3 linked regions of the Drosophila melanogaster genome follow. The protein of the gene in region 1 interacts with the protein of each later gene in a pairwise test. Each region holds a gene or a part of one and is shown in the gene's direction. Other genes may lie near its edges.

Region 1 (5,387 bases):
TCCATTTCCATTTTCACATAAACAAGATCAAAGTGCGCTGGCAGCCTGCAGGCTTTATAAGAAGTCTTCGTCCCCAGATATACAAAAACAGCAGGAAGTACGGCAAATACCCAAAACAATCCGGACTATTTTGTTGTCGATTTCAAAAATCGAATTGTTTTCGTCAAGAGCCAAAGGCGCGGAACATTTGGCCGCAGGAATATTGCACAATATGGCTGCAGATCAACTAATAATTCAAATAAAAACGTGAAATTTATTGGGGCTGCGCCTTAGGTTCTCACTCTTTGTGTTTCCAGGAATGTTCATTTCCCATTTGGCTAAATTCCATTTCACGATTTTCTCTGCAAATCTCAACATGGCTAATAATTATAGTCCATAATTGAAAAACAGAGCGAAATAGCTAAGGAATTTTGATGGGCAAATGGCGAAGCCACCTCATCAACTCGTTTGATCGTTCCCTGAGATCCTGCATATTTCCATGGAAAGAATGCAGAATGATTGACAAATCGCAATATCTGATTAGCTTTGATCAGTTTTATTGGCGCTGCAAGTGCACACAACATACGGGGAGATTGAAATAGTGCAGATGATAGATCGTATCTACAAGATAGAGTCATGGGTATAAAATATTATTTTGATAAGTGGTACGTTGTTGGAACTAGAAGAGGTTCACTGCGAACGAATGATGTTTCAATAGCTTTCTGTATGGAGCTGATTCCTTTTAAGTTTAAAAGTATCTTAAAAATACACTTAGGTACCTATAATCCATGTAATACGGATCAGTACCAATATAGTTCATATTAATTTAAGGCATCCCTTACAGAGATTAAATGTTTTCCTTCTATCAACTCGGTTTGCTCATGATGTTCCAAATGCCGTGCACTTAATGGTAATTTTGAATGATTTACTTTCAAATGGACATTTTTTTTGTAAAACCTGCTCGGATTCAAAGGATGTTCCCTTTTGAGTATAGTGCATCCTTACCGTGTTCTGCTGCCCGAATTGGCGTCGGTCTGAGCACTGATTTGTAATCCATATAGGGGCCAGGGAACAGCTTATCCAGACCCACGAAGGGGTACGTGTGCGATGAAGTGGGTGTGAAAGTGGGCGGAAGCGTGGCATGTCCAAACCTACGGGATTCGGCATTCGCCTGGCTGAAGCAGTGGGGGAAGGAGCAGCAGGCTAGAATGCTGCCATCGCAGCATGACTTGGTCGAGGGCGAGGAGGAGCTCTGCCGGTGGGATTCCTCGGGTTCCGAGCCCAACAGACGATCCACACTGAAGCTCAGCTTGACTTTGGTGGTGCTCGTGGCGCTGGTTGGCGACGTACTGACTATGGTAGTCGAGGCACAGGATTCTTTGGTGGGCAGCTCATGATCGACATTCACTGGATCGGGACACTTTGCCAGCGTTGGATTCACTTCACACTCGCCGTACATGTGAGTGCTGAGGTTCTCGGGCATACTCTGTTCCATGCTGGCGGCACTCTCGTGTAGTAACATTGTCCGGATATGTGTTGTATATGGTTTCTATCTACGAATCTCGACACAGGACACTCAAAACTGATTTCACACGTTCACAATCGATAGGGACTATCTATCATGTCCAAAACACCGTCGCTGTGCACCAATAAAACGATCGCGAATTTTGGCTTAGGTCTCGTGCACCTCCGATTAAACCGCCTTGCAAGACATCCCACTCAGAACTGATCGGAACCGGCCAGGGAGCACGCTCAACCAGCCATCGATTGCCGATCGGCCAGCCAACGCGGAACAGTCTGTTGGCGGTGGGGTTAATCTCGCTGAGATTGTGTATTCCTGGTGCTGACAGTGGGGCAAGGAGTGCGAGATGATCAGGATATAATGCTAACAATAAATAATGGCTATATGTTCGATATACAGGATATACAAACCAGGATATTTTTTTATCCAACGTGTATATTGTTTATAAAGTAATACTCAAGAAGAGTAATACTATCAAGAAAGATTAGATTTTTGGGCTTCGGTTGGTGGTAACATTGGTTTCTATTCCGCTGAAGATCTATATACCTCTAGAAAGTGCCCTAAAATTATGTTAATCCACTTACCATAGACCTGATCCCACTGTAGCCACACACAGATGGGATACCTTGCCATGCCGATCGCTTGTTTACACACAAGCATGCCGCTGTGTCATTAGCTCAGTCGGAGATCGTTTCCTCGAGCGCAGCCGAGATTTGTTTACCGATTTCTCCATATGTTCCCGTACTCCCACACACAGACACACACACCCCATCCGAATTCCGGTTTCCCTGCGCAGAGGCCATGTCGAGTGGCTCGTGGTTCGTGATTTCTGGCCAATGCGATCGATCCGCAGTGGTGGGCGGAGCCACTGGTGGCGCTGATGCGGCATCTCGCTTTCGCGCCCAAGGAATGTGCCTTCCATTGGCTTGGGATTGAGCGATCTGCGCGAACTCCACCTGCTCCACGCTGTCTGGGTTCAATGAAGTGGGTAACCGGGACTGGTGGTCATAAATCAGAAACCGCATTCCACAAGCGGAAATCCGCAAAACGGAACACGAACGGATCGTCGGGGTTGGAAAACTTAAGTAGAAATGTGTAAATTGCGGAGCGAAACTGGCGTTATTAATAGGAAAATTGTCGTGACTACCTTAAGATAGCATACTTTCCGGCACAAAACTCCCATCCAAGCGGGCGGATTTGGTGCCAAAAACACCCTAGCACCACAAGCCCACAAAGTGACCCAGAAAATGTGGAATATGCAAATGCAATGGCAGCGGAAAATCCATCGCCAGTCGGTGACACTTTTATCCTCTTCAAAGTGAAGTCCGATTAATAATAAAATAATCCTTTTTACTTAAAAAAAAAGATTCAGATACATTCCAGGATATGCCGAACGTTCAAAGATACTGATTGGAAAGAGCATGGCTTAAATTCCATTAACCCATTTAAAGTGCAAATTGAGCCTTAGTGATTGTAGCCAACAACTTTTCCCGGAAAATTATAGGGCATACAACAAATGAAAGCGAAACGCAATCAAACTATGTAAACAGACACGAACGCCACTTATTCTTGAGGAATCGCTGGAAACCGCAACCAAATCGTTGCGGGGCAACTCAATTCACTTTGGCCCAGGAACAGTGCGCTGCCACCACTCGAATGGAGTCGTTCTCAGCGTCCAGGTGCTCCACCATACCGTCACCACTGCCGCACAGTGCCAGTGGCATGGACAGTCCGGATATCTGTGAGCCGCCGCAGGATGAGCAGGAGTTCTGCTTTCGCTATCCCAGCTACATGTTTCCGGACGTGGAGTACGACAAGGAGGATGTGCCGCTACCCTTCAAGGCCTCGCCGGACTCGCTCTTCAATCTCTGCGCCGCCGTCGTGGATTCCCAAGCCCGCACTGAGGTCTTCAAGTGGAGCATCAACGATGTGACCGACTGGCTGCGCAACTTTGGTTATCCCGAGTACGAGGTGGGCTAAGATTCTTACTCACTATGTTGGGTAACCTATAGCTTCGTTACAGCAAACTTTTCGGGAGAACTACATTGATGGACACAAGCTGCTGAATCTGGACGCAGTTGCTCTGGTTGCGCTCAACGTTCGCAACTTCGAGCACATCCGCCACCTGGGCCGCGGCATACGAGCGCTTTACAGGAAGGAGCTGCAAACGGCGACGGAGACCAAGCAGCAGAGTGAGGTCTATAAGACATTCCGGGCCCGCACTGGCCGAAGGTACGAGGGATTGCGGGAGACGGAGCTACTGGGCCGCATGCACATGATTCGCTCCGTTTTCCGCGACGTCAACGACTGGGATCTGATGGAGCTGCACATGTCCAGGGCGCCGGTGAGGCGGTATCGCGAGATCGTCGCTGGCTCCAGACGCTACAACCTCTATGGCCCATCGACAGCGCGCCGGGAACCCATCATTACGGACGATGTGGATGCCACACCGTGGTACAACTTCGAGGATTGCTACTGATTCACTTTCAACTTGAAATCGTGGTTAGCTTTTGGAGCAATAAAGTAACTTCTTTAGTGGACAATTAAATTTTAATTGAAGGAACGGTCAGCTTAAATCACTTTCTCTGCGCCATCGACGATAAGCACAAATTGGTGGCTCTCCAAGTCAAATCCTACGACTGCCCCACCTCATTGGATCACCGATGCTGCCCAATCAGTCGACACGGCGCATTGATCACTTATCGCTCTGAATTGTTGCTTTTGCTGTTGTTTTGTGGAGGGGTAGTGGGGGACTGGGAACTGGGGACTATAGGATCAGTGTTGTTACCGTCGAGAGCCGTCCGCATTCGCGTCCGCTCACGTGTTCAAATTTATTGATTGTTCTGCTCACAAGACACGGCGTTCCAGCTTTTCCTCCGCAATCCAGCGAACTGAGCTTCGCTCTGAGTTTTGAGATCTGGGCACGGCGTCCAGCTGTGCGGCATGGGAGACGTACGTGTGGTCGGCTTATGTTATATTTCCCGACATCTTGTGTGTCCGTCGATCGGTGGGTGAGCATAGCATAGACCGAGATTGAGTCCCCTGCTCAGAGCTATGTACGCCTAGATGCAACCTAAGACGCTGCCACGCCGTCACACACTGGCCATGCAAATTGCCTTTGGCCTTTATTAACTTAGGCCATAGGATTGAGACTACCTTAATAACTCGTTCCGTTAACACTTTATTATGTTCGAGGCGCATAAATCGTTCCATCACCCGGACATGGTCCCGAGGAGGTCCCCAAGTCCCCCACTCATCCAGTTCCCTAGTTCCCCGAGTTCCCAAGTTACCAAGTTCCAGAGTGTCTGCGTTCGGGCCAACGTTGGCGATTATGATTTATCGCATTTTAATCAATTTAAAATGTTTAAACGATACGAATCGGAAGAAATTATGAATGTGTTGCTGTCTCCAGGCTCCACAGTAGGCCACCAATAACAACAGCCACATAACCCACACCAAACTGATACCCATATACCCATGCCCATACCTCTACCCCTACCCATGAGAGCCATGCCCGACGAATACCCGATTCGAGGACCCAGCGATCATCGTCAGCAAGCGTTATCCGACGCGTACCTCGTTTGTAAGTCTCCACCACATCTCGTGTTACCTACGGTCTCGATCGCCTCGCAGACCTACGCGCTACATATTAGTCAGAGATCAGGGACGGATTCGAAAGTGGGTTCTTCCACTAACTGGTCAAAAGTAACACCACTCTGGATTAAAGGGCAGAGGTACATTTCTATGGTCACCAAGTAAGATTATGTTAATTTATTATGCCTTTAAATATCGGAAAGGCATTTTTTCAATAATATATTATAATAATGTATAATGTAAAAGTATTTTTAAGTCAAAGAACTTAATGGTGGAAGACCAAATTTCATCC
Region 2 (7,247 bases), 7.3 Mb from region 1:
ATATACTTCACCATTGACTTTTATAATTTAAAAGTATACAATACGCGGCCAATACCAAGAAACCCGCTGAGGAGGAGCCGCTAAACAATGCTATCTTGGATATTGGATATAAACGCTGGAAATATAACACTTTTGGGTGCATTAGCTCAGCTGCGCTCAGTTTGCAGAGTTATGTTGGAGTCCGAATTGGAATAGTTATGCTCCAGTCGCGGGCGAAACTCATCCTCGCCATCTGAATAGGACCCCACCGAACGGCAAATGCTGCAAGAATATTACAATATATTATTATTAAATTTTATCCGGTAGTTTTTGTTTTTGGCTCTAAATATATGTATATATAGATTACCGTTGAGTTGACGCATAGCCTTCGATTGCCAGTGCCTCACTCACACCCGGCGGCAACAGCTGCTGGAGCAGTGCATCCTTGACCGCATTGACGCCAGTCGGCAGTGGCACATGATTCATGTCGACCGAAGAGTGCGATTGCGACAGGTGCGGCGCCGTCAACCCATTTGCCAAGCGTGCTTCTCCACAGCCAGCTCCAACTGCAGTTCCATCCCGTTCGTCGACCTCATCCCTTTGCGTTCGTTCGATGTAGCGAAGAGTGCTGAATAGCTCCAGCAGATTGCCAAAAGTGTTTCGCAGATCGCACTGGCCCGTGATGTCGAAGCACAGCTGCGAAACATTCTGGCGCAAAAGGTAGATGGCATACTTTGTTTGCTGCGACGGCAAAATGGAGCGTGTATACAGAGGAAATCTAAGATGGAACAATAAGATACCAAAAGGTAATATTTAGTCTGTGTGCTTACTCTCTTGTTGTGTACGTCAACTCTTTGATATCGTCCACTATCCTTGCTTTCGATGGCTCGTACAGAATACGGTTCCTCAGAGGTCGATCCATAATGATGGCTAACATCTGCACCAAATGGGCAACATAACCCAGTGCCGCACTCACTGCCAGCGGCGAGACGTTATCCAGAAGCTGTGCGTTTGCCGCCTGACGTGACTCGCTCGTGTATTGCTCCATGTGGGGGAAGGCGATGCCGCAGATACTAAATTGCCGACCGCCCACATTCTGGATGTTATAGATCTCCTGTAGCTCCAACACCAGTGTGGACATTCGGCGCTCCACCTTAAAAGGGTGAAAAGGTTTATTAATATACTTGTTTAATGTTATTTGATTCCGCAGCCCCACCTGCCGTTCTATTTGTCTTTTTTGATCGCGCTGTTCCAGATGTTGAGGTGCCAGGGTTCGTAGCTCCAGACGTTCTTTTTCCAGTCGATGTCGCTGGCTGTGGAGCTCCCATTGCTGTGCCTCCCGCTGTTCTCTCATCTCCTTCAGAAGTTGACGGGTGCGCTCGTTTCGTTGGCGAAACGTTTCCCGCTCCGCTTTAAGTAGCCGCTGTTGACTGCTTAGCGCTTCTATCCTTCTAGTTAGCTGCTGGGCATTATAAAGCGTGAGGGGCGCGATCTGCTGCTGCTCGGCGAGCAACACGCTCAGGGCGCGGCCCATGGAATGGTACTGATGGGCGGAGTAGTCGCCGGACAGCGATGTCGTGCGGGGCTTCAAGCGCAGCTCGTTCCTGGTCACACAGTGTACACTGAGGCGGGCTATTTCTCGGCAAACCTCGGCCATTTGACGCCGCTTCTGCTGATGCAAGCGTTGCAGACGTTGCAACGTGAGAAGCTTTTCGAGGTTGTTGCTTCGCCGAATCTCCTGCCGTTGGCACTTCAGCTGTGCATAGCGCATCGTACTCATTCGCAGCACGGGACTCGAACTACGACTAACGGCCGGCGAGTTTATGCCCTCATCCTGCGGCTCTTCTAGTTTCTCTTCCTCCGCATACTTTTGGTAGTGCAAATGCAGCTGCGACTGCAAGGCCTGCTCGCTTATCATCGACGGGGAGGCAAATTGCTCGCCATTCAATTGAAAGACCAAGCAATTTCGTCCGCACTGGGACAATGTGAGGGGAGACAGAGGTATAAGGCCGGAGAAGTAGACGCCCCAGCTGAACAGTAGTTCAGGAGGGCGTGGCAGCCTGCTGGGCGTTAACTGGGATCTTCTGGAAGTAAGTTGGTTGATGATAGCAGAGTTCTATTTGCAAGCAAAGTCTCCTATTTACCCGAAAACATCCTTATGTCTTTGCTCAACCTCAGGCGGTTGGCCATCTCTTCTTTCCGCCGAATAGTGCTTCCACACCTTGACACAGACACACTGCGCATTGGTTTTCCGCCAGGCCTCGTCGTCCGTACAAATCTCCGCCCACTTTTGCTGTTGGTGACGCTGCGGCAGCTTTTCGCTGGTGTAGAACGCTTCGCTAGCCTTGTCCGTGTGTAGTGTGTAGTAGAGGAGCACATCATCCGGATCATCTAGCTCCAGCGACTTCTCATGCGGCCAGGACTCAATATTGAATCCCTGAATTCTGTTAAGGTTCCGCAGTCGAAGTTGCTGGGTGGCTAGGGGCAGCCACTTGCGGCATCGCGGCCGTAGATTCATCGTAAAACGCCTTTCCGGGTGAGCTGCGGATTACGCGGAGCCCGTAGCCCAGATCATTGTACACTAAGACTACGTTTGTTATAGTTTTTCCACAGAAACTTTTAACAAAAAAAATGATTACCCGAACAGCTGTTTTTAGATGCATAAGTGCTGCAAAACACTGAAGGCAATAGTGGTGGGAAATGCGCCGTTCAACTTGTATTTTATTAATTTGGCTATTTTCATTTTATTAATTTACACATTATTTAATTTAAGAATAAATGAAAATTTTATCAATTTGAATTGATTAATAAAAATATAAAAAATATTTCGTTAATTACAAAACACGGGAAAAAATAAATTATTATTATATAGCTTTTTGCAATTTTTAGCTAAAATTGCAGCACAACTAAAGAATCTTTCAATGAGAATCTAGTGTTGAGAAGCGCGAAAAATGCCTTGTTCTGCTAGTTTATTTTGCTTTGTCCGCGGATAAGGAAACTTGCTGCGAGGACTACATTCCAAAGTTGACTTTATTATGAGCCAGAACGATGATCAGCTACATTAGAGATGCAATCATGTCACCGACAACACGCAGCAGCTCGAATAACAAGAAAAGCAGCCAGCCAACAGGCGAAGTTCTCAAGGATGTGAGCTCATCCGAATCCAGGGGAACAGCAGGTGCTCCAATGCGTGGCTACAAGGTTACTGACAACGAGCGAACGAGGAAATACGGAATCGGAGCCAATTCCCTGGAAATGCTGATAGCCAAGGCAAAAAGCAAGTTCCCGGTAAGAAAAAAAAAACAGGAAAAACTCCTGCGTAAAAGCGCGAAATATACACCCACCCACGTAGATGGGCTGAAAGTTCCTGGCTCTGGTAATTTTCAAGGCCATGTCCCTGGCAGTGGCTTCCGCGTTTGTTTGGCTCTCTTTCAATGCCACTAGTAAATGCCAATGCGCATGTCCTGTATAGTAGAGCTAACCACCTGTTGATGGAACGTCCTTGCCTGGCAAAAAAAAAAAAAGAGAAATGTGAAACAAACTGAAGGCCCCTGAACCAGGAATTGGGCGACCTGGCCTCGTTATAATTCGGCCATGTCAAGGGCATTACAATTAAATCGTTTTTTTTTTACCTTTTAGCTTCTCGAGCCACATTTGTATTTGGCTTCTGATGGCTTCGAGGTGTCCGACGATGAGTACTTAAAAAGCCTACCCGCCCAGACGCTGTTCATAGTGTCTGGCCCGGATGCAGTCATTACAACAGGTGAGCTGCAGTTTAAATATTTAACTTAATCACAATTAATCTGTCTTCTATTAGATGCCGATTTTGAGTTTGAGAAGATGCGACAACAATCGCCTTTGCTAAAGGTGGCTGACATTTTCTACGATTTTATCGAACAGCATCCGGAAAAGTTCCGCCGCATGATAACGGAGTATGAACACCAAAAGCAGCGACGCGTCCTGGATAACAGCAAGACCCACCTCAGCTTAAAGGCCGAGCACGTGGAGTGGTTCACGGGCGGCGAGGAGCGCTTCCACTCTAAGGAGGAAGCTATGGCCACACGTGCCCAGACACGTGTGCGAGGCTACTACTATAAGGCCAAGGAGGAGCTGACCCGCAATCCCTTGTACCGCCAAAATGCCAAGGCCCGACAAGTGATAAACTCTGTGCTGGAGAAGTTTCGATACCTGCTCATCGGTTGCGACTTTTTCTCCATGATGTTTGACCGGAATTGCAAGCAAAAGCATGAATTCCTGAAGCAGCACTTGGGCGACGAGGAAACAGACGCTGGCAGGATACCCAGCAAGAGACTGAGGCAGGTGATTAGGGAGTACACCAAGGAAAACTGCATCCTCGACGAATGGTCCACTTCCTTGTGCTCCGACTTGGGTGACTTCTATTGCCAGGGCTCCTATTCGGAGAATGGCAACAGCTGCTCTAAGCAGCACACTATTAATCCGTACGCTTCGCGTGAGAATCTCATTTTGTTTCAGGTCTGGAATCTGGACCACCAAATCGAACTGTGCCGCACAATCCTTCCCGCACTTGTTGCAAATGTGGAAGAACTTGTGAGTCATCCGCAGACCAAGTGTTCAATTCATAAGAAGCAAGTGGTCGATATCTCAGTACTGGAGTACTTTCTAGAAATATTCTCCCTAAAGAATCTCAAACTAGTGCACATTGTCTGTCATGAGAAGGCGCAGCGCTCAAACCGTTCGAATGGTCGCCTACTGTGCTCCGACTGTCATGAGTATCGCATTGTGCAAGAGCTGATGGAAGTCCAGGTGGACAGTCTAGCCACTTAAATGGTATGTGAGAAATATATAAAAGTTACCTAGCCAAGCAATATTGTACACAATAACTTTACAAAATGTATCTACGAGTTTTGTTGCTATTTTTAAACAAATATTGTATATTCAGTTGTTAAGCATATTATATTGCTGATCTCATATGGGATAAGTTGTACAAATGGAAATTATCTCGATGCCAACTATAAAAACTTACTGTTGAAGGTTTTTCATAGTAAATACGTAAACTATTAACATACTTAACATATGCATTTAATGTTCATATAGCTTTTCAAACTATTCAAATTAAGTGACTATGCAATATCGGTATATAATCTAGAGTTAAAAGTTAGTTGATTGTAACGCTAGTAGCTAACAATTTAAAGTTGGCGTTACACATCGATCAGCAAGTCCAAACTATGAAATATGAAAATATTGTATGTTATGAAGTATGTATACTCATGTAACGAATTTAAACAAAAACGTAACAGTATGAAAAGGTTTTGCTACACTTGGCTTCTCTGCACCTCTACAAGTGTTTTATTTTTGTATGGGCCATGTATTCAAGAGCCAAATCGTCGGTTTTATTTCCATCGATATTGTATACAAACAAGTACAAGTTTTTTGATTTGACTTCTTTATTTACTAAAAATGTTTACTGCATATAAAATTGTACAACACAAAATATAGTTTATTTATGTATCAAATAATAATATTCAAATAAATGTGCAGAACGTTCGTATGCATACGAACTAAGTAAAATAATAAATATTGATGACAAACAAAAGATAATATTCATAAATGAAATAATATTGTTCGCAAGTAACAAAAATATTTAATATATTATTAGTCGTGTTTGATGTGCGCTTTCGTGTTATCCGGATACATATCAAGCATAGTCGATTTCTTGGATTTTGTTTCGTTTCGTTGCTACCTCATTGCACCTGCATTCTTTATCTTAACTTTTAGGATTAGTATATATTCGCTTTCGCTATTTGCTTCGTAGTTGTGTTAGAATTGTTTTGTATGGTTTTAGTGCTGCTACCAAATCGCGTTCAACAATAAAAACTTTCGATTCTCAGTTACAATGATGTTTGTTAGTGTAAAGAAATTTTACTAAAAACTTGTTCCCGTTCCCAAGTTATTTGATTGTGGCGATCCTCAGAGTGTCTGGTACTTAAACTACATAACTATAACAAGCAATCTGATTAATATTCAGTTTCGTTTCGATTTCTTTATGATGCTGTTGAGTTGCTATAATTGATTTCTATGGCGTTGAGAAATAATTATAGATCCGATTGACCAGGTCCTGAAAAAGATTAAACCAAGAAGAGTGTTACTTTAAAATGGTTTTAACTGGCAGTGACAAACAAATAAAGCTAACACTAAATTGTGGAAACTTTCCAGTCTTGACTTGGCCATGAACACCGATTCAGGTTCAGACTTACGTACATAAAAAGTAAACGTAAAAAGTAAATAAAAAATATATAACAAAATCAGAAATATTGAAGCAGCAACTGAGAAAGTGCAAGTGCCAGGCAGCCAAAACAATTTTGAGAGAAAACTTCACCTTTTTTTTAAACTTTTGTTTGTATTATTCATTCAATTCAGTTCAATTCGATTTAAGTTTTGGGGTAAAAGCCATTCATTGTCATTATTAAAGTTAACGATTAATGTTTGTTAAAATATTTATTTCTTATTGTGTGTATAAAACAAGTTAATCGAGTATAAGAGAAAGAAACATTTAATTATGCATTTGTAAACTCATGAATGGTTAATGTAACGAACGAGTTTTCGACAAGTCATATTGTACAATTTTTCACTTTATATTTTTTCACTCCATTATTTCGATAGTTTTTATTTATGGTCTCAACAACAAAAGAGTAATCTTCATTCGTTGTTCTTTGCAAGGTGGAGTTTGCTCTCCAAGCTCAAGTTTTTAGGGAAGCATTTGGGGAAGGAACTACAATAGTGTAATAAAAATATTTGCGATGTAAAAGGGATTTTTTTTTATAAATATCTATGGGTCCATTGAACAATAATAAATGGGAAATGGTAAATGCATTTACTCATAGTATTTACTTTAAATTATTTGTTGATTATTTGCGCATACAAACCTGAGTTAATTTGTTCGACTTCAATTGCAAAGATCGCAAATATTTTTATAGACAAATCAAAAATAAGAATACGGCACACATAATAAAGTCAAACAGCGGCGAAAATAAAATTAAATACATAGAATAGAAAGAGGACAATTTTTGGAATATTATGAAAACATTCAATTAGTTAAAACTTGGTTTTGGGTAATTTTTAATAATTGCAATTTTAGGTACCTTAGGATTTTGAACGAGTTTTACAAAATCATTGAGTTGAGATGAAATTGGTTTTTATTTTGTTGTTTATTGTGGCGCTTGATAGTTTTTTTTTTTCAGTTTTATATGCTTGTTATTATTTGGTTCGATTTCATGAGTTACGGCTTA
Region 3 (5,525 bases), 4.4 Mb from region 1:
TTTATTAATTTTTTCAGTGTATTTCCACCTTTGACCAAATTGACCCACCTCAGCATGACTTTTATGTCCAAGTTGTACAAAATTGGGCCAGGAGCATTTAGTGAACTGCAAAGTAAGTTGTGAACCTGCGCGCACTAATGGCTAATGGCTTAATCGAACAACCATCTTTCTTTAGGTTTAACTGAACTGATATTGTCCGACAACAAACTGCTAAATGAAATTGATGAGGAGGCTCTATCCAAGAACGTAACTGGTGGCCAGTACTTGGACTACCCGCCATTGGAAAAGGTAATTCAAGTGCAAAAGCATGTAGAGCTTTAATCAACTAAATAACATAAACTTTTAGGTTTACTTGAATAATTGCAACGTGTCGACTTTGCCGAAAGAACTACTAGTGCGCTGGGATAAACTTAAGGCTCTGGATCTTAGATTCAACCCGTGGAATTGCGACGAATCCAATGACTTCTTGATCAACGTCTTGATAGATCGAATCAACAAGACCACGCCCGTTCTGGCCAAAGATGTCAAATGTGGCGGTCCGAACAAGTTAAACGATGTTACGCTGCTCAGAGTGGCGAATGAACATATGATAGAAAGTTCGACGGGCAGTCTTATATGGGTTGGACTCTTGGTTGTCCTGCTCATCGCGGTGCCGACCATCATTGGTGCTTACGTGATGAAGAGGCGCGGCTGCTTTGGCGTCTTTAGACGTCATGACAGCGGTGCTAGCAGTGCTCTCTATAATAGGACTAGTTTCAACGAGGATTTCCATATTTAACTTTCTTTTTGTATAATAATTAAAGCCTTGAAGCCTTATTATTCTGTTAGAGCGCTGGTAATTTGGCGTAAATCTGTAAATACACTTACATAAATTAAGTAAACGTTGATTGTTTTACACCCTTAGTTTTATTTACGGCTATTTTGCTTTAGATTAGATACCAAGATCTCTTGTTTTAAAATTCTTAGTTAAAGTCAAACGAGAATACCGAACGTTAATTTCGAACTAAGCCCGATTGAAAACCATTGAAATAGGGATGCTCCAAAATGTCCTTGGCGGAAATGCGATGAACTGGATCGTAGATTAACATCTTTTGTATGAGATCAATACCATTCGCATCGAGATTCTTTAACTGATTGGTCAATTGGTTCGTGGACCAGCAGGGGAACGTGTTCTTATAGTCGGGTAGCGAAGTAACGCCCGGCCAAATGTCTTCGGTAGGTGTTTTCAGAATTCTGCAATCAATGAGTGTGAGTATCACAGGGAATAGAAAGTAAATTACCTGTGGTTACCTAAACATTCTAAACAACTGGTCAATTTCCGAGTCACCCTGGAATAGCGGCTTTCTCGTTGCCATCTCCGCGAATATGCATCCAATGGACCAGATATCGACGGGACAGGAATACCGGGGTGAACCCAGTAGCACCTCCGGCGCTCTGTACCACAAGGTAACAATCTCGTGCGTATAAATGCGCACCGGAATGCCAAAGGATCGGCCAAGTCCAAAGTCGGCGACTTTTATGAGGCCACTCTTGTCGATTAGTAAGTTCTGCGGCTTAAGATCACGGTGAAGTACTCGCCGACGATGGCAGAAAAGAATGGCGCTAGTTATTTGGTACAAATAGCTACGGACCAATTCACTCTCCATGTGCTTATCAACTGGCAGCGAATCCATGTATTTCTTGAGGTCCATCGATAGGAATTCAAAGATCAAGTATATGCGGTTCTCCTCCATCAAAACATCCTCCAAACAGACAATGTTTTCATGTTTCAACTCCTTAAGCAACGAAATTTCTCTGTAATGGATATTAAATATTACTACATTATAGAAAAAACATGTGATTAAAGTATTTTAGTTATTGGTCTATCAGTTGAACCAGAAAGTATTCGCAGGCTTCCAATTAATAAACATAAATAGAAAGTATGATGATGTACACATGAGCATAAGTACGCATATAGGATTGTACATACACACACATATGTATGATGAACATAAGCCGTAACATAATTATGCTAGACTTCCACAGTATAAATTAAAAACAATATTGCAAAATCTTCAAACCAACCCATAAGATGTCAAGGAACATACTTTCAATTAAGCATATAAGCCATTTGAATGGAAAAGTCGCGAAAGAACATGAAACATTTTGAGGCTTGGGCGTCCAAGCCGCGGCATTTTACCTGATCGCGGTTGATGGAACGCCTTCGTCGTCGGACTCCAAGCGGATTTTCTTCATTGCCACAATTTGGCCCGTCAGGCGGTTGCGACCCTTATACACCACGCCATATGTGCCCTCGCCAATCTTCTCAATTTTCTCAAAATCCTCCATAATTTATTAAGCTATTTCTTTGCAAGCCACCGACTTTTAAATTAGCGCGTTTTTGACGTATATGCTCTAGTATTACCAGACAGTTTAAACGATGCTAAGCTAGCTACATTTATTCATTTGGAATGTGGGAATGAAACTCAATATTCAGGCAACTTATTGAATTGCTGTATCTTAAAAATGTTGTTAATTTTTTTAAAGTTAATTTTAGTGTACTGTAAAATTCCACGCTTTTTTTTATAGTGATTTCAATTAATTAAGACATCACTTTGTTTGAGTTCGGAGACAAACGTTTCTGCTAATATACTATTAATTAACTTATGAGTTTTTGGTGCAATTAATTTCTATTTTATATCTTTTGAAGGTGAGTACCAGTAGTACGGTACTAAAGAAATTAATTTAAAAAATGTAATTGGAATACCGCAACTGTTTTACTTCATTTTTGTTGTTTCAAAATTACTAAGCTCTTTGTCGATATCTTGACACACCTATATGCATGCCGCAAATGTGCATAACATATATATAACATAGTTTTTTTATTTTTTGCCGACACAGCAGACGATGTAAACATGTCGCTTTTAGGTAGGATTGCAGAGAAAACTTCAAGGCTCAGGTAAGTTAAACTTCTCTAAAGTGTTACTTATCTCTAAAAACACAAATGACTGATCACCCATTTGTTTATTGTAGCTGCCTTCGATTGATGTCGGTGTATCCCACACACTATGTCGAACCAATTGTACAAAAATATAAACAACTAGAGCAAAAGAATGATCTGTCCAAGCTTTACCATGTGCCCATCAAGGCGGCGGTCAACAAATCGTCTGATACCATCTTTCACGACGATACAAAACATAAAATGATCAATTATATAACGAAAAAGGGGAACAGTGCCTTGGCCAGAACGCTTTTGTCCAAGACGCTGGAGCTAATAAAACGAACCCAGACGGAGCACATGAATCTGGCCAAAGGGGAGAAGACAACCATAAACACCAATCCCGAAACGCTTCTGAAACAAGCGGTTGAAAACTGCCGACCGCTCCTTCAAGTGACCGCCATAAAACGTGGTGGTGTCACCTATCAAGTCCCTGTTCCCATCACCACGAAGCGGTCATATTTTCTGGCCATGAAGTGGCTCTTGGAAGCTGCCCGCGAGAAGGAGCGTAAGGTGTCCCTGCCGGAAAAGTTGGCCTGGGAGATTCTCGACGCAGCCCATGGCCAGGGAAGGGTCATCAAGCGAAAGGACGATCTGCACAGGCTGTGCGAAAGCAACCGCGCCTACGCACATTACCGATGGAGCTAAATGCACAACAAACTGTTTTTCCAATGCAATAAACTTTTCATATACCTGTTAATATCTATGATTAGGATTTGTGTCCGGGGAATGTCTTAAGAGAGCGGAATATCGAAATAATTCCTGGATTTATGGGGACTAAAAACGAGGACCTTAGTAAAATTGTATGAAGCTATGATACCATTATAAAAACACATTTCTAATATTTTTTCTTTATTTTTCCTTATACGTTGTTTATAGTAGATTTGAAAATTGGATTTTCCAAATGGTGTTATAGCTATTGAAACCCAAAGTTTTTCTTATTACACTTATACTAAGTTTTTATATAAATTTCTTCAACCCATTTACCTGGTTCGTCGTGTTTTAAGCTTCTGAATTTAATTTAAAATTATAGCACAGCTTAATAACAGAGTCTACTCTTTTTAGAATTTTTCTATTTAATTTCAGTATAAAATGCAATTTTATACAAATAAATTATCCTGATTGTCTCAAAAACATATTTTTTCAAGTGCAAAGTTAAAAAATGTAACCTGTTTATCGCGCAACGACAACGGTGTAAACAGTGCGTTAAGGTTGTCGAGGTGTACGTCTATCGAAGGGACTATCGATTCTTATCGAATCGCAACGCTACAGATGACGCACGAAGAGAACAAAGATGGCGATCCCGAGCACACGAAAATTAAAACGAGCTGAATGATAAATAAAGAATTTTTTACCTATAGTTGAAATTCGCATAAGCGCAGTGAACTAAAATAGTTAATAGAAGTGTCATGCATATTTGCAATGTGTAAACGAAGAGTTTATCGCAAAACGGTTTACTTTAGCTGTGCATTTTGATATAATCCCAAAACACATAATCGTACTACTAGTTGAAGTCGACTGGACGACATTACAAAAAAAAAAGTTGGGTAAACTTATCAAACTGTTGTTGAAAACACAAGGATTCTCGGTATTAATACGAAAGAGATATGTATATGTAATACATACGCTGCTGGTGGCTCAACGTCAACACTCGCTGCAACAAAAGGAATTGCATACATAGAATTAACAGTGGATATTAGGGTGAGTACTTTTCACGAAATGTATTTTATTTCGGTGCAGGGTATGTTTTCTAGCCGTTCGATTACACTTTTTATGCTGCCCATGGATCTGCATACGTTTATTTGTTGAATGTGTGTATATACCCGTGCGTATACAGCCTTATGTACGAATTAATTCCTCTTAAATGTATGTGGATACCATTTTCATGATTCTGCATACATACACATGTATGTATGTATATGTATATACGAATGCTCGTAAACAAAGTAACTACTTATGTACAAACGAGTAAATGGGTGTAAGAGCGTATGAATTAACTTTATTCTCCAAGTGCGTGTGCTTGTGTGTGTGTGTGTGCGTGTGCATTTGTTCGTTTGGGAAGTTATTTTAAGTTTTATTTTCGTGCAACAAACTCACGGTTTTCATATACCATGTACGTGTATATTTAATGTAAGTATCATGTACATGTGTTCATGGAAAATGTTGTGAATCAGGTGTAGAAACATTTCAAGAATCGGTATTGTGTTAGTTTGTTAAATAGATTAATATCATTAATGATTATAGCATTAAAAGGCTCCGTGAGTTTTAAACAATTTGTTAATTTTTAATGTTTAATCTTTGGAAAAAATTAGGCATTTAAACTAATGAATTGAACTAATTATTATTGTTATCTGTAAGGTTAGCATAAGAAGTTAAGTATTTGTTTGACTAGGAATTCTGATATAAAACAAGAAAGGTCAGGTATAACATGGGTTCCCAAAAAAATATGTAAATACAAATATTTGTATGAAGCATATTTTTATTAAACCAACCAAATATAACAGTTTTAGTTGTGCTAGCACACATTTATAAACTATTTTACAGGTAG

Evidence for each region. Proteins that work in one complex are often made in the same cells at the same time.
Region 2: the proteins of CG13996 (region 1) and Drep4 interact in a two-hybrid assay, tested with the Drosophila melanogaster proteins (one large-scale study listed by BioGRID).
Region 3: the proteins of CG13996 (region 1) and mRpS7 interact in a two-hybrid assay, tested with the Drosophila melanogaster proteins (one large-scale study listed by BioGRID).

Annotation. Positions count from the first base shown.
Region 1 is NT_033779.5:6,017,693-6,023,079, forward strand, and holds CG13996 (uncharacterized protein), read left to right. Parts: upstream 1-3,142; 5' UTR 3,143-3,157; coding exon 3,158-3,472; intron 3,473-3,524; coding exon 3,525-3,980; 3' UTR 3,981-4,026; downstream 4,027-5,387. Other genes in the region: H2.0 (homeodomain protein 2.0), read right to left, coding at 985-1,501.
Region 2 is NT_033779.5:13,282,190-13,289,436, reverse strand, and holds Drep4 (DNA fragmentation factor-related protein 4), read left to right. Parts: upstream 1-2,974; 5' UTR 2,975-3,027; coding exon 3,028-3,267; exon of another isoform or gene 3,268-3,485; intron 3,486-3,611; exon of another isoform or gene 3,612-3,618; coding exon 3,619-3,742; exon of another isoform or gene 3,743-3,796; coding exon 3,797-4,785; 3' UTR 4,786-5,525; downstream 5,526-7,247. Other genes in the region: Uvrag (UV-resistance associated gene), read right to left, coding at 147-261, 347-757, 810-1,132, 1,196-2,063, 2,124-2,497.
Region 3 is NT_033779.5:10,383,850-10,389,374, forward strand, and holds mRpS7 (mitochondrial ribosomal protein S7), read left to right. Parts: upstream 1-2,812; 5' UTR 2,813-2,894; coding exon 2,895-2,938; intron 2,939-3,012; coding exon 3,013-3,625; 3' UTR 3,626-3,803; downstream 3,804-5,525. Other genes in the region: CG5096 (uncharacterized protein), read left to right, coding at 18-112, 176-288, 347-778; Cdk1 (Cyclin-dependent kinase 1), read right to left, coding at 993-1,233, 1,291-1,794, 2,180-2,328.